3 linked regions of the Kluyveromyces lactis genome follow. The protein of the gene in region 2 purifies or fractionates together with the protein of the main gene of each other region. This does not show direct contact. Links are inferred from orthologs where the notes say so. Each region holds a gene or a part of one and is shown on either strand. Other genes may lie near its edges.

Evidence for each region.
Region 1: the proteins of RPF2 (region 2) and MRT4 purify together in Saccharomyces cerevisiae (affinity purification with mass spectrometry; 3 studies listed by BioGRID, with this or other methods). This does not show direct contact. The link is inferred for Kluyveromyces lactis from reciprocal best matches to the Saccharomyces cerevisiae genes RPF2 and MRT4.
Region 3: the proteins of RPF2 (region 2) and CGR1 purify together in Saccharomyces cerevisiae (affinity purification with mass spectrometry; 4 studies listed by BioGRID). This does not show direct contact. The link is inferred for Kluyveromyces lactis from reciprocal best matches to the Saccharomyces cerevisiae genes RPF2 and CGR1.

Annotation. Positions count from the first base shown.
Region 1 is NC_006038.1:1,183,201-1,188,625, reverse strand, and holds MRT4 (mRNA turnover protein MRT4), read left to right. Parts: upstream 1-3,100; coding exon 3,101-3,817; downstream 3,818-5,425. Other genes in the region: putative ubiquitin-protein ligase UFD4, read right to left, coding at 1-2,199; SHU1 (Shu1p), read right to left, coding at 3,911-4,426; MRP4 (mitochondrial 37S ribosomal protein uS2m), read left to right, coding at 4,804-5,425. UniProt on the Saccharomyces cerevisiae protein: Component of the ribosome assembly machinery. Nuclear paralog of the ribosomal protein P0, it binds pre-60S subunits at an early stage of assembly in the nucleolus, and is replaced by P0 in cytoplasmic pre-60S subunits and mature 80S ribosomes.
Region 2 is NC_006037.1:703,688-709,481, reverse strand, and holds RPF2 (rRNA-binding ribosome biosynthesis protein RPF2), read right to left. Parts: upstream 3,194-5,794; coding exon 2,159-3,193; downstream 1-2,158. Other genes in the region: GTPase-activating protein GYP1, read right to left, coding at 1-211; MTD1 (methylenetetrahydrofolate dehydrogenase (NAD(+))), read left to right, coding at 1,041-2,021; NUP133 (Nup133p), read left to right, coding at 3,629-5,794. UniProt on the Saccharomyces cerevisiae protein: Required for biogenesis of the 60S ribosomal subunit.
Region 3 is NC_006041.1:949,021-954,092, reverse strand, and holds CGR1 (Cgr1p), read left to right. Parts: upstream 1-3,098; coding exon 3,099-3,464; downstream 3,465-5,072. Other genes in the region: GPC1 (glycerophosphocholine acyltransferase), read left to right, coding at 1-9; CCM1 (Ccm1p), read right to left, coding at 197-2,758; KLLA0_E10737g (inositol oxygenase), read left to right, coding at 3,909-4,865. UniProt on the Saccharomyces cerevisiae protein: Involved in nucleolar integrity and required for processing of the pre-rRNA for the 60S ribosome subunit.

The DNA.
Region 1 (5,425 bases), on a different chromosome or scaffold from region 2:
GGAATCAGATTGAACATCCAGTTCCTTCATCTTAGTGACAACAGCATTAATTTCAGAAAGCTCGCTGGAGACTTCTTCTTGGTTAGATGAAAACAACTCTAGTAGTGTAGCACTAAACATGGAAACATGTTTTATTAGGTAATAAGGAGTCAAATGATCGTAGATATTAATGCGGATTTTTCTCGGTTTGACAAATTCAGGTATGTTCATGTCGTCGTACTCCATCCTGTAACTGTCTTTTTCTTCATCATCATCTTCATCTTCAATGTCAGAATCAGATCCAAAAACAGGATGAGAATCAGAGTTTTCCGGACGTATATGATATCCTGACTTCTCGGCTTCATCTGATGACGATTCCTGTTTATCAATACTATCTTTCTTGCTGAGCTCATAACTGTAGTGAGAATTCAAAGAGGTTAAAGCATCTGGTATACCTTCTTTTCTTAGTTTCGGTAGATACAAATCCGGATTATTAGACATCATGATAGAAATTAACGAAAGCAGTGCTACTAGTACTGCACTGGTCTCAGTCTTCATATGATCTTGTTGCGCATTTGAACCATTGATGAGACCAGAGGATATTATGTTAATAACGGACGAACTAGGAATATCGTAGCCATGAGGTATAGACGTGAACACCCTAGCCAATGCAACAAGAACTGTATATCTAATCTTAGTATCCACTGTATTGGAATATATTTCCACCAAACAAGGAATCAACTCATTGACTAGTTCAAGGAATTTATCCTCATTTCCGTCAAATGTGAAAACTTTGACCTCATCGGCTGTCAAGATTTGAGAATCTTCAGTTGGGAGCAAAAGTAAGAGGAAAGTTGTTACCGACAACAAAAGCTCTTTAGGAACATAAATCAAAGTTTCACTGAAGGTGGAAGATGCTGATTTCTTATAAGACTGGAAAACGTTTTGAATAACTTTGTTCAACTCACAATCCAATAGGATTTGTTTTGACAATTCAACATTGGTGGAGACCAAGAGTGATGAAATATCCAAGACTTTCAAAACAGATTCACGTTCAATCTCTGAAGAAGATAACAACGACAATAACCTTTTAACCAACTCGAAGTCAAAGAGTTTAGATAATGATTTCTTGTTCAAAGATCCTGAAATGCTGTAAAGTGTTATGAGAACTGGCTTCAAAATTACTGGATTTGTACTATTTAGGAAGATAGATTTCAAGATGGGGAAAATCTCTGATACCACCTCGAAGTCACTTTCCTTAGCCCTAGCACATGAGTTCGCAACGATAGATAATGATTTTTTCTGCGCATGGACGGTAAAGAAATCCAAATATTGCAAACAAGAGAGAAGGGTACCGCTTCTTAAAATCTTAGATCCATGTACCCTTGAAATGAACTCTAAACACTCCAAAACTTGTTCTGCCAAATCGATATAGCTTATCTCATTCAATTTCCCTCTCAATATCTCAATAATATCTCTATTAACCGAAACCTCTATCATTTCTGGGTTCATCTCATAGTAGTTATAGAGACACCTACAAGCAATTAATTGTAACTCCAACTCTGCTTGTAATAATGGGCTAGACAATACATGGATCAAAGCGTCCATTAACTTGCCAGATGGGATGATTCGATCAGCGATCAAAGGGTTTAACATCAATAGCTGTTCAGATAATTCCCGGAGAGATTCCATAGCAATATACGGATCGTCTTCAGCTTGAAGCACATTCTCAATCAATTTCAAATACCGAGAATTTCCTCTGCTAACACCGAAAAACCCTTCAGACCTTCCTAGTTCTTGCAACAGATCTGGCAATGAACGTCCAAATGCACGCTCCGAATCAGCTTCCTCGCCTTCAGCAACATCACCATCCCCACTTTCACCAGATCTTTGATCCGCTAGACGAGAAACAATATCTTGTAGAAACGAAATCCTGTCCGCACGGTCCCCAGAACGGCTTTCATGATAAACATTCCCTATCTCACCTTCTACTTCCTCATCGTCTTGATCTTCATCTTGATCTTCGTCCAACTGCTCTCCTTGCGATCCATCTTCTTCCCCGTCTTCGTCTTCATCATCATCATCATCGTGATGGACAAACTCTAAATCATCTTCATCCTCTGGATAAGAATATTCGCCAGATTCAACATCATCACTTTCATGGCTACCGTTCGCATCTTCATATATGATATAGTCGCCATCGCCATCGTAATAACTCATCTTTTCAAAACCCTTTCCTGTTTCAAATCACAAATAAGAGGCAAAATTACTATCTAAAATTTCTAGTTCACAACCCGGTATCTCTTACCACCTTAATAATTGGTATCTTAGAGGTTGTTAGACTTTGGCAAGCAATACAAGAGGTATGTTTAACTCGCCGGCTGTTCATATCAAACCAACTAGTTTGTTTCCTGCTAAATATGTACTGAGATTGCAATTTCCTGACTCTGAACTTTTAAGGTACATTTTGGTCCGGTACACTGCGGTTTTATCTGAGGAAAATATACACAATACCCGTCGCCACAAGTAATGAGTCACGTGACTAAGTTTACTTCCCCATTTACAATACATCTCCGGTAATAGGTTAAATCATTACCACTATATCTACTTGCCCGATACACGATCATGCCCTATCTGTGCCTTTCTAGTCTTGATATTTGTGTTGAATTGAGATCTATTGTCTCATTGGCAATGAGTGAGAGACTCAGAAATCAGTCAAGGGAATTCATACCGGAGTTTGGTTTTGCAGTTCCTTAGAATAAACCTCTCTAACCGAGCTTATGAGAATGGCCCTAGAGCATTGCAAAAGAGCCGGTATATGTCTTACCGATTCACTTTGTGTCAGAGGTCGTTACTTTCCGTTTGGAAAAATCAAATCACGTGACTCACAACTAGAAAGAAAAAGAAAGGCGCAAATTTTTCAGTTTGAGAAAGCTCATCTCATCGCATCTACTCGATGGACCTTTCATAGTTTAAACTGATCAACAGTACTAATCGCTATATTCTATCAGTTGTATTCCTCTTTATTTATCTCTCTTCTGTAATTGAATAGTGTTCTGATAATTGTTTACTTTTCGTTACTCTTTATCATCAAGCTACTACATATACCAACCCAGATACGATGCCAAGATCTAAGCGTTCAAAGTTGGTTACATTGGCCCAAACCGATAAGAAGGGTAGAGAGAACAAGGAAAGGATATTCGATGAAGTTAGAGAAGCCTTGGATTCTTTCAGATACGCTTGGGTTTTACATTTGGAAGATGTGAGAACTCCAGTTTTGCAAGAGATTAGAAGTTCTTGGGTTGGATCCAAGTTAATCATGGGTAAGAGGAAGGTGTTGGTGAAAGCGTTAGGTGAAAAGCCAGAGGAAGAGTACAAGGAGAACTTGGCCAAACTATGTAAGCACTGTTCTGGTGTTACTGGTCTATTATTTACCAACGAACCTGTCGATGTAGTGGAAGATTACTTCAAGGCATATGTGAGAGCTGATTTCTCCAGACCAAAATCAAAGGCTCCATTGTCTTTTACCATTCCAGCCGGTATTGTATACTCTCGTGGTGGTCAAATCCCAGAAGAAGAAGATGTGCCTATGATACATTCTCTGGAACCAACTCTAAGAAACAAGTTCAAGATTCCAACCAAAATTAAGAATGGTAAGATTACCATCGAATCTCCATACTTGGTCTGTGAAAAGGGCAAAACTCTAGATGTTACTCAAGCATTGATCTTGAAACAATTTGGTATAGCAGCTGCTGAATTCAGGGTGAAGGTTGCCGCATACTACGATAACGAAACTTCTAGTGTGGAACAGATCAATATCAACATGGATTCGAAATAAATCCAAAAATAAGAAAGCATTGCAGTGATAAACTATAAATATATATATATAATCATAACCTATATATTTCTCCTTTGTACATTAATCTCTTCTCTAGGAATCCTTTATCGAATACACGTACTGCCAATATTCGGTCAGATTCTTCCAACCTTGAGACATCATTCCCAGATCTGTCGCTGACACCATTCTGATACGCACAGCGTACTGATTTTCCAGTCGAAGCGATCCATGAAGGATGAGGTTACAATGTCGCAGCTGGGAGATTGACAGATCAAGAGTTTTCTGTGTCTCTTCTGATTCCAATTGTTCTTTCGTCATTAACAGGGACTCTAAACCGTAGATGATAATTTCTTCATAGCACATCGATGTGTTTCCTTTATTCTGGAGCTCAATCTCGACATATGTCAAGTACATATATAAATACTGTAATTTATCAAGGAACAGAATCCGCACGTTGGATCGTCCCCTGACTATATCATCAATACTGTTAAAGAAATGCGTCTTGTTTTCCCGTAGATCTTGCTCGAAGAAACTTCGAGCCTTAACGCCAACTGCTATAACTAGAACTTTCTTGTTACGGTCCAATACATCACGCAGTACATCTTCCATCGGTTTATAAGGATGAAAAATAATCTTAACCAATGCTATCCTACTAGGAAATACCTTATCCTAATAAATTAATTTCACGCTTGTAAGCCGGTACATTAATTGTTTCAGATGCGTAATAGCCTTGACGGTTTGAAATGTTGATACTTAGACCACATAAAACACGTGATATTTAATTACTGAGAATATATCAAAGTATCAACTCGTATACAATGATCTGGAAAATTTTATTGAATTGGTGAATTGGACAGTTGGTTATCGTAGCGTTTGGTATATTAAATTACGATGATTTGAAGAAGGTAAAAGGTAAAGGAAGTGATTTAGTCGACATTTTGAGTGTTACCTTCACCTTATAGTGAGAACTGTATCATTTGTCCGGAATGTCTGTTAGATACTGCACCAAAAATTTGGTGGGGAGGGCGCCATTTGCCTTAAGATCAGGTGCAGTGAGACTGCAAAGTTCTTCATCAAAGGCTAGTTCCAGCGATGAGTCCAATGCTATAAAAGGCGAGAATGGTGAAGAATTACAATCTGTGGATGTAGCAGCGGCTCGTCAATCGGAATTTAACGGGAGTATATCTCAGCTTTTACATCAGGCAATGAACACACCAATAGAAGAGTTAGGAGATCTGGAAACCAAGTTGAAGTCGCCATTGACTGAGAAAGAACAACAATTGGATGAGAAATTGACTGCATTTTTGAGGAAGTACTCGAAATATAACAAAGTTTTAGATCTACCAGAGGATACCAACAAGTTCGACTTTAGTTCAAAAGTTTTGTCCCAACCATTACATACTAGAGAGTTCCCATATTTGTCGCACACCAGTAAAGAAAAGCCTTATTCGGAACAAGAATTATATGTACGTCAATTAAAACATGCCGCTCATACATCCAAATTAGGTGCTAATATACAAGACGTGTATTTCCCACACAAGGACGTTTTCAACCCGCCATCTTTACAGCAAGTATCCATTGAAAAGCTAATGGCCGCTGGTGTACATT
Region 2 (5,794 bases):
ACGGAGCTCTCAATGGAGACATGTGACGTGCTGACGGTGAATTCCTAGAAGAATGCTTCTTTGAATCAGTAAATGAATCCGTAGATTTCTTCCATGATTTTAGCAACGATCCAACAATATTAGGTGATGATGAAGTATTCGAATTAGACCTTTGAAACATCTCCCTAGGAGATTGATCTATCCTACTACTAGACGAAGAACGGATAGCCATTGGCAAGCAAAACAATGGGAAAAAAAAACAGATAGAAAAGAAAATATAAAGACTCTACCCTATTACACTTGGAAAAAATGCCCTCTATTTCTTCTTTAAACTATGATCAGGGCCTAAGACACCTTGTTATACTTATCTAGTGAATGATCTCCCTAAAATACACCAACAAATGTATGAAATGTCACCCAATTTTTTACCAGAAAATTTATACGATATGCCTTGATTAATGACAATACTAGACATCCATATAACCTAACTGTGTCATACAAGTAAACCCTATGTAGCGCTCCAATTTCCTTTCCATTTCCTTTTGACTTTCCTCTTCCTTAGCTTTGCATGCTTCGAATCCAATATATCCTATAAACGGTGATTCCATCGAAATTCCAAAACATCCATTACCCGGATATAAAATAGATAACGTGACTATCACATGCCCTGATTTTAAATCACGTGATTGAAATTCCTTTTTTTTATATTGTTCCAATCATTTTTTTTTTGACTCTGATTGACAGTTACTATAGGGCGCTCATTCGAGCCATTGGAATATCAATTATTATTATCACTTAATTATGATAGAATGAGATGAGATGAGTAGATTTAGATGAAAGATAGATATACCATATATACATATATATATAAAAACGTATATTTGAATCTGTATTAGATCGGTTCTGGTTTAAGAGTGTACAAATACTGAATCAATCACTACATATCAGGATATTTCATTCGAGAACCGACATTATTTATTTTTGTCAACTCATATTTTAAGGTACAAACAGACAAACCACATCTACCCCCTCTCACCCGCCGCAAAGCAGTTAAAATTACCATGTCTACAGAAAAGCCAGGCCGTACCATATTAGCGTCTTCTATTTCTAAAACTTACGTTCAAGAAATTACTGGAAAGGTGGAAAGTCTCAGGAATATTAGACCAGATGGTCCGTTATTAGTTGGGTTTTTGGCCAATAATGATCCAGCTGCAGAGATGTACGCTTCCTGGACTCAAAAGACTTGCGAGTCTATGGGGTTCCGTTACGAGTTGAGAAGAATTGAAGATAGAGACTTCTTGGAAGAAGCTATCATCGATGCTAACCAAGATGATTCCGTTGATGGTATCATGATCTATTTCCCTGTGTTCGGAAACGCACAAGATCAGTATTTGCAACAAGTGGTATCAAGGGAAAAAGATGTAGAAGGGTTGAATCACGTTTATTATCAGAATATGTACCATAACATTAGATATTTGGATGATCAGAAACAGTTGAAATCGATACTACCATGCACTCCATTAGCTGTAGTGAAAATCTTGGAGTATTTGAAAGTTTATAACAATTTGTTACCAGAAGGGAACAGACTCTATGGGAAGAAATGTGTTGTAGTGAATAGATCTGAAATTGTTGGTAGACCTCTAGCTGCTCTGTTAGCAAATGATGGTGCTGATGTGTTTTCTGTTGATATCAACAACATTCAGAAGTTCACACGTGGGCAAGGTTTGAAGTTTACGAAACATCATGTAGAAGACTTGGGTGCATATTCAGAGGAGCTATTGAAGGAATGCTGTAAAGATGCTGACGTGATAATAACAGGTGTTCCTGGTGAAAAATACAAGTTCCCTACTGATTACATTAAAGAAGGCGCTATCTGTATCAATTTTTCCTCAGAGAAGAATTTCGATGAGTCTGTGAAATCAAAAGCATCGCTATACGTTCCAAGCACCGGTAAAGTAACCATCTCCATGCTGTTGAGAAACATGCTCAGATTAGTAGAGAACAAACAAAAATTGCAAAACCGTTCAGCCTCCACGAATTAAGGCAGTGGATCGATCAAAAAAAAAAAAAGAATTATACTCTATTTCACCTTTATCTCATATATATGCGAATGTGTATGTATATGATTAGATATGTATATGAATTATATTATACAGTCAGTTTTTATTGTCAATGGAATTTATTTCTTTTGCTTCTTAGCAGGTGGAGCATCGATATCTGTTGCCGTTACGAATTCTTCACCGTAAGTGTCATCGACATTTTCTTGATCAAGATCGCCTTCAACTTCTTCTAGGTACTCTTCCATATCCGAATCCACTTGATCGTATTTAGCCTTCAAACCCTTCATCTTTCTAGTTTGCAATTGACCCAAATCTTGCTTACCCACATGCACTCTACCGATCTTATCACCCATAGTATCGATCTCAACGTTCTTAGCAACTCTGACTTCCAATTGTCTAGGTTTCTTATGGGCTTCCTTGACCATTTCTGGAGATGGAGTGTGAATTCTTCCGATCTTGAAATCGAATCTTGGACCAATCTCTTCCAATTCCACTCTAGGTAACTTCTTACCACCTTGTTCGGACTTGTAAGTCTTCAAGTGATACACTCTGAATAGAACATTTGGTAATGGTTCACCGTCTTGGAAATCACCTTGGACAGTGATAGAAATGATATGTTGCAAACCTGCAACATCTTGCAAAGTGGTATTCTGACCTCTGAAAAAGTCAAGGAACAATGATTTGATATGCTGGTAAACTGGATGTTGTTCAAAGGCTGCACCTTGGAAACTGAACATTGGCTTTAACCCAACGTTAAAAGTTTGTTTTCTGAAATCAGACAAAAGTTTATAGTTTTCTGCAATCTGCAACTCGATAATATCATAGATCTTATACCCAAACGTACGAATAAAAGTCAAATTGTTTCTTCTCTTCTTAGAATGTGTGCTCAACACCATAAGCGATGTATCATTCTTTTCAGATAAAAACTCTAATGGTTCATAATCTTCAAAAGGTCTGATGTTGTTCTTCTTGGAGAATCTCTTGATATCAGGCTTCTTCAACGCACTCAAATCAACCATTGAATCATGCAACAACTTGGTAGAAGTTTGACCAGGAATGAATAAAGCTTGCTTTACATTCTCAACCAATTTTGCTTCTTTTTTATCCAAAGCCCTTTTAGCACGGGCATTCTTAGGCTTTACTGTTCTGATCATCCTGGTGTTTACGGTGTCTTGATACAAATCACAACAATTACACCTTATAGGATAGAAATCTGAGCCAAAAGATGAACTATGTAGACTGTAACTTAGCTCATCGCATTTAGCTCATCGCATCGATTTGTTCCAGTTTAAAGATTTAATTTTCCAAGTTACTTGATAAGTGAAAAGAAACTATTCCAAAGTCACGTGGCGGAAAATGTTTCACGTGACATCACTTATGACGATTTCTTTGGCGACAATGAAAACAGAAACATTGACCAAGATTTTAAACAATGAGCATCAGAGAGTCTATTTACCTTTATAATTACAGCAATGCAAGGTCAAGCTAGGTTCGGCTAACAAGGTAGTGGATCAATTGAGATTAGAATTTCAAAGTTTTACATTTGGTGATTCTTTTGGCTTTTTTTTTCAGTGTCAAGATAGTACAAGATGAAGCAATTGTTTCAGCTCAGGAAAGAGCTTAGTGTACCAGCAGCAGCACCAGAGGATTCAGTAATCTCTGCTGAGGAAACGACAACTGGTTCTGCTGTCACCAATGTACAATTTTCGAATGAACAAGTTATCACAGAGAATGGGAAGTATAAGGTATCGAAGTTAGCGCCAAGTTTAAGTTTTTTGCCCAGTAATGTGGAATTATGTTGTAGCGTTGATGCAAAATCTGGGTACGCCTTATGCTGCGATACTGATAATGTTTACGTTTGGCCATTTTTATCTTCTGAAACACACCCTAGTTTTGTAAGGATTCCATTACATGACGAGGAATATGAATCATGGTCCCGTCCTCCATTATGTTGCTTTACGTGGCCTAGTGTGCTCGAACGTGACTTGAAATCAAGCCCTGGCTTATTTTTAGTGAACAGTAGATCCGGTGACATTCAATTCTATGAAGATGTTGATACTGTGAGTCAAGTGGCAAGTTTCTTGACGCAAACCAAACGTCATAAATCAGTTTTAAAACTACGTGACGGTGAATATGTAGAGAATTTGATTAATGCAGAACCAGCTGGAATATTACTTTCGACAAATTACGGGCGTGTTGAGTTTTGTACTATAAGAGATGCTAACGGGAAACCTTTTGTATCGCTAAAACAAACCATAATAAAATGTCAAGTCGGAATCTTTTCATCCATGTCCAAATCAAAGAGAGTGGTATCTCTCAAATTGGGCGAAATCAGCGGTAAAGGAGAAAGAATAGTTTCTATTTTAACCCAGGGCGGGCGATATCAGGTGTGGAACCTTTCATCTGTTGGGAATTGTTACAAAAAGATCGATTTAAATGTACAGTCTGAAATTTCACAGGCAGTCTTAGAGCATTTCCCCTTGGCAACATCTACACTGAAACTACTCGATTGTCATCCTTTATCAGGAGACTCGGATGCATACTTGTTCTTGAGTTTCTTAGCGGAAAGTAACGAAACGCACTATTTACTATCAACCATCATTGTGGATGAAGATACTAACAGTTTCGCTATCTTCTCTACTTACAGATTAAACACATACACGCGACCATTATCAGATGAATTTGCCCCAAGACTTATAGTCCCAACTGCATACACCAAGGAACATTTACCGATAACGTCTGTTTACACTTTATTCTCTGATGCTGCTGTCCTAACTCAAACAAGTTCCAAATTGGACTCTAATTATCCATTTAAAAGGAAATGGGAGGACATTATACGGTTTAACAAAGATATGAAAGTTCTTGGGTACGATTGTAATTCAAGTTCCTTATACATTACTGATGGAAGAACATGTGCGTTAAAGTTGGAGACTTTTGAAAAATACGAAAACTCTGACTTCCAAGAAATTAGATTCATAAAGTCTCATGTGGATCAATACGTCTATTTTGGAGGACAATCAACGGATTCATTACTAGACTTCAACTTACCTGACAATCTAGATCTACAACCACAAGAAATTGAAACAGATATTCAAATGTCCAGTGATGAGATTAAATATGCATTATCAAACCACATACCGCCTGTTGCTAACAACCCCATGAAACACTTAAAAATAAGAAGCGAACTTTTTGAAAGACTTCTCACATTTGTTGCTCATAATTTTTTGGATCAAACATCTTCCCAATTCAAACTGGACTTGATTTCTGATTTTGAAATGATAAAATGTTTGGAAAGCTTGTACTCTTTACTACCGCAACAACCAACATCTATTTCACAAGCTTGGAAGACAGTACTATCAGAAAGTTCCTATCAATCGGATTCTGATTTTATCTCAGACGGCATTGTTAAGATTCCAGAATTATTGGGCGCCTTTTTGAAGCATTTGAAAGACCTAATGAAATCCACAAATGAAACTATGTTAAAATCTCAGATCGCAAAGCTTATAAATCAACTAGTTTATCATTCCATATTAGAAGAATGTGAAAACAGCTACAGGTATGGACTTTTCCAGATGAGCCCAGATGATGTATCAAAAAATATCCCTTGGTTCACAACAAATAGCATAATAGAAAATCTTAATGACATCTTCTTCTTGTTAAGGCATGCCTCTGAAGATCTTGCCGTTGTGTCAGAATTTGTAGAGGAATTACTGCTATTGGTTAAGTCTCTATTTTATATGGTCAGGCAAATAACC
Region 3 (5,072 bases), on a different chromosome or scaffold from region 2:
ACCACCTAATATCAAAGGTTAGATTCACCAATATATTAATGTCGTTTCCTTAATCTATCTATTAAATATTTACAAGAGAATTTTTAAATGATAATAAACACTACAATTTATTTACAGGTTTCTTGGTTGTGAGCTGTTATCATTACTGTAATTCTCATTATTTTCATAGCATCCATTCTTTCGTGATGTCATAATATCAAAGGTCTAATGACTTGATCTCTTCCTCCAATTCAACTATCTTTGATTTCCGATTCACCACACTCAGAAGTCTTGCAGCGGAGTTCTCATCTTCAATAGCTAGCAACGCTCTGTGTAGGGACTTAACCATAGAATACTGCCAGTTTACCGTCTTTAAAGATGACAAAATGATACTCAATGCGTCTTGATACATCTTTTCATTCGTGAAGTATTCGACCATTAGTTGAGCGAAAGTTGCGTCACTTTGTTGTCTTTCACCTGGTGTTAATTTCTGGAAAGCGTCAGTCATTCTGAATTTACCTCTGTTCTTCCATGTTGTCATAGCAAGTTCGTAATCATGGAACGCTATGGCTGCTTTCATCGACACTTCGTAGATAGCACAATTAGTGGCTAGTTTGTGTTTCATAGAAACCAAGTATAGAAGGAATTCTGAGGGTATAATACCGTTATCAACCAAGGCATTGCTGTCGGTTGTGTTAAAATCTTTTGAGAGTACAGGTGATTCCAGTTCGTTCGTTTTTGATTTTTTGAATTGATATTCCACCCTTTCGTTGAATTCGAACGCTTGGAATGTGAATTCCTGTAACCTCAATTTGAACTCATTGGGTTCATGAAGCCTAATAGGTATCGTGAGGAAAGTTATCAAAGATTTCATATTGAGAATCTTGTGATTGACATATCTGTTTTTCCATTCCAATAAACGCTGCGAAATCTGCAGCTTGAATTCATTAACAGTTTTTGCACATTTGACAATATTCTCTATATCTTTCACTGTCTGCATACCTTCTGGTAATTCTCTAATGTCATAATTTCCGCCAAACTCTAAATTAAATCTCCATAAGGCTTTTGATTCATTTATAGTTAATTCTGCATCATTAAGCTCAGTCATAGGAAGCATAGGTAATTGAATATTTGAATTCTCATAGGAGGAATCTCGTCCCGAATAGTCAACTGAATAAATCATGCTACGTCTCAAGCTTGAACCTTCTGGATATCCTAATAATACTGGTAGTCGAGACTTTTTGAATTTAGAGTACGATAACATTAGCCAGTTAAACATTTGTGCGGAAAGAGATTTCTTCCAAATGCGAATATAATCAACTGGATCGGTATCTTTGTGATACTTTTTGAATTCATAGAAGTGTGCTTTGAACAATGCGTTCGTATATTTATAGTACAACGCACGAGCAAATCCGACGTCACCATCATAAGCTGATAAAACCATCATTGTCTCTAGCAGCAGCATGTTGTTGCGTGGATTTTCGGTTAGCTGTTTGGATAATTTAGGATCATCATGAATCTTATGGATGTACTTCCAACTCATTAACCTTAATGAATCTGCTTTACCTTCACTTGTTACGTTGTCAGCACTTGACAATGCTAAGGATTTAGCTGCGTTAAGATAAGTCTTTAGGTCCTTTGTGACGTTCAAATCGTCCATTTCTTGGAAAATATCTAATGATCTTGCGTAATTCTTCTCCTTTTGACACACTTCGAGCATCAAGTTGTAGACCTTAGTATCTGGTTTGTGTTCTAGGGACAAAAATTTAAGAGAGTCAAAGAGTTGCCAAGCTTTCTTATAGTGTTCCATCTTGGTATAGAAAGAAATGACTGTCGTATAGTTCTTTCTGTTAGGTTGCATATCATACGTCGAGGTGAATTTCTTTAAAAAAAAGTCCATATACTCCCAGCTCATGGCTTTTGAAGCTGCAAATATACAAGCATTTAGCATATACTGTGTTGGCTGGAAACTTTTCTTCGATAATGTAGCATCCATTCTCTCTGTTAACTCTCGAAGTTTACCACATACTTCCAATTTGCCCTGTGCTGATGGTGATGTAACCCGAGAAAAAGACAACATGAGATGCTCGTATAAGTTACCATTTAACCGCGAGGAGTCATTCCCAACGCTTTCCATTATCATCTCATCCAATTGGGATAAGCTCGTAAAGGAAAGTTTATCGAATTTCGAAAGAATCTTGGAATAAATAAATTGGATTCCTAAACCCTTTAGTCTCTGTTCTGAATGGTATAGTTCTGTTACTATCGGATTAAAATCCCTATTCCTCTTATCAAACAAACACCTCAAAATGAGGTCCTTGTCCTTTATCCTCTCTGATAATCGCTCGGGTAGTAACGATGTATCAGCTTTATCTGATAACAAAAGAGTTGAAAGATTCTGTTCTGCCCCAGGGCCCGCTACCTTATCGTTCAATGAACTTAAAATAACTCCAGCATCGCTGTCAAAATCATGCATCTCGGGATCTACCGATTTTGTCTCCTCCTCTTCTATAACATGCTTACGCTTTAGCTCATCAGTGTACTTGATCTGTTCTCGAAGATTTCTGGTGAACTCTTTCAACTGATTAACCTTGAACTGAACTTCCTTCTCATTAGTGAAATCGATTGAATCCAAATCTAACACATCTTTCGTATCAGTGACAGATCTCGCCCGTCTCTTACGAGATCTAACATCTCTGCTAGCTGGCATGATCACACTCCTTCGCGCATTTCGTACCAGTGTTGACGAAGTCTTACCATTCTTTCCAAGTGAAAGCATTCCCTCTTACAGTGGTTTCCAAAAGATCAAAAGAGCACCTTTTATATGTTCCTTACACTATAATTCAATTAATCGATGATCTAGCGACAGATAACACCGATTGAACTTTTGAACTAATACTTTCATGGTAAGTTCATCTCATCTCATCTCATTTCTAACTAGAAATTTTTCAATCTTTAATGTTAAAGATTTCTTTTTCATTATTATGTGATAGTGAAAAATTAGAGAGACAATGAGATGAGATGAGATGAGATGAGAGAAACACATACAAAGGTTGTAACAAAGTGGTCGTGACTGGAGTAACCATTACTGTAGTAATCGCGAAAGTGTACGAATTATCATGTCAGACAATACAGCAGAACAGCAGGATATACAGATCAAGGGTAAGCCCGTTAGTGGCCGCACCTGGAAGGTAGAGAAAGAACCTTTGAGGGCTAAGAACAGAGTCGTGAAGAATAAGAAGTTGACCTCATGGGAATTGAAGAAACAAAAGAGACTAGAAGATCAGCAGTTCAAGGAAAAGGTACGTGCTTTGAAGGAGGAGAAGAAAGCCGAGAAAGACGCTGTTATTCAAGCTTTGAAGGAAAGAAGAGCAAAGAAGGAAGAACAAGAAAGGTACGATAGATTGGCTGCCAAGATGCACGCTAAGAAGGTCGATAGACTAAGAAGAAGAGAAAAGAGAAATAAGGCTTTGAAAGAGCGTTGAGACATAAAGTCATAAATACTGTATAATAGAATAAAGACATATCTGCATTAACGATTTAGGCTTGTTCCGTCCTCCGCAATTGTATATACTGACGATGAAAAAGTATGTGGGAAATTGACAAAAATTAAAACCAATTTGCTGCTTCTGTGGATCGAACACAGGACCTTATGAACTTCAGTCATACGCTCTCCCAACTGAGCTAAAGCAGCCAAATTAATTACAAGAACCAGTTTTCTTTCGCTCACCTTGCACTAAAATTACTGTTATGGATATTTCTCAATGATTTTCTAATGATGGATGTGAGTGTCAACTTAACGATAGAACAGGATTAAGTTTATAGTGTATGAGATACGTCTCGGTACGCTCTGATATTTCGAACGGTGAATTTATTAGTGCTCTGTTAAAAGGGATCTTTTGCTCAGTGCCGTTGAAATAATTGAAACAATGTCAAAGGATTTGGGAGAGATTATCCATTCGGATAAAGGCCATTTACTGGAGCTTATAGATGAGGATGTTCAGTCAATCAACGTAATTAAAACCAAGCTTCGAGAGCAATCCAAGGACCCCGTACCGTCTAAAAAGAGGAAAATGAACGATTCGACTAGTGTCCTAGATGGAATAAATGAGGAAGATTTCAGGCAATATAACCAGGCTAAAGATAGAGTGCGAGAATTCTACAAAGAACAGCATGAGAAACAGACGATGGCGTACAATTTACAGGCAAGAATTAATTTCAAGACTAAAGTGCGAGCCAGAATGACTGTTTGGGATGCTTTATGCCAATTAAGTAAACTCATAGATGAATCGGACCCAGACACAGAACTCTCCCAAATAGATCACGCATTACAAACGGCTGAAGCGATAAGAAATGACGGTAAACCTAGATGGATGCAGCTCGTTGGGTTAATACATGATTTAGGTAAGATCCTATACTTCTTTGAGAGTGAAGGGCAGTGGGATGTTGTCGGAGACACTTTCCCCATTGGTTGTGGTTTCGTGAAGGAAAACATCTTTCCTGAGTTCTTTCAAGGTAATCCCGATAATTCGCATCCAATATATTCAACTAAACTAGGAATATATGAAGAAAACAGTGGCCTAAAATCGGTGATGATTTCGTGGGGGCATGATGAATATATGTATTATATCGCAAAGAATCAATCAACTCTGAATGAGAAGGCTTTGGCTATGATTAGATATCATTCCTTCTATCCATGGCATCGAGAAGGCGCATATCGATATTTGATGTCAGAAAGCGATTATGAAATCTTGGAAGCTGTACAGGATTTTAATCAATATGATCTCTATTCCAAGGGATTACAAAAACATAACCGCGATGAATTAAAACCGTATTACCTTGAATTGATCGATGAGTTCTTTCCTCAAAAACTGGTTGAATTCTAATAACGGACTCGAGACAAGATAACTTACCTAGATAAAAAACGGAGAACATTTAATGTGCTATATTATGTGTTACAAATTCTGCTTTATAATCAGCATTCAGGTATAGAAATATTACGATTGTTTATAGGAGATTAATGATGGACGATAAAACCAACTAGGAAAGTTCGTGTTGTGAAGGAAGCTATTTTCGGTCAAAAGAGTAATGAG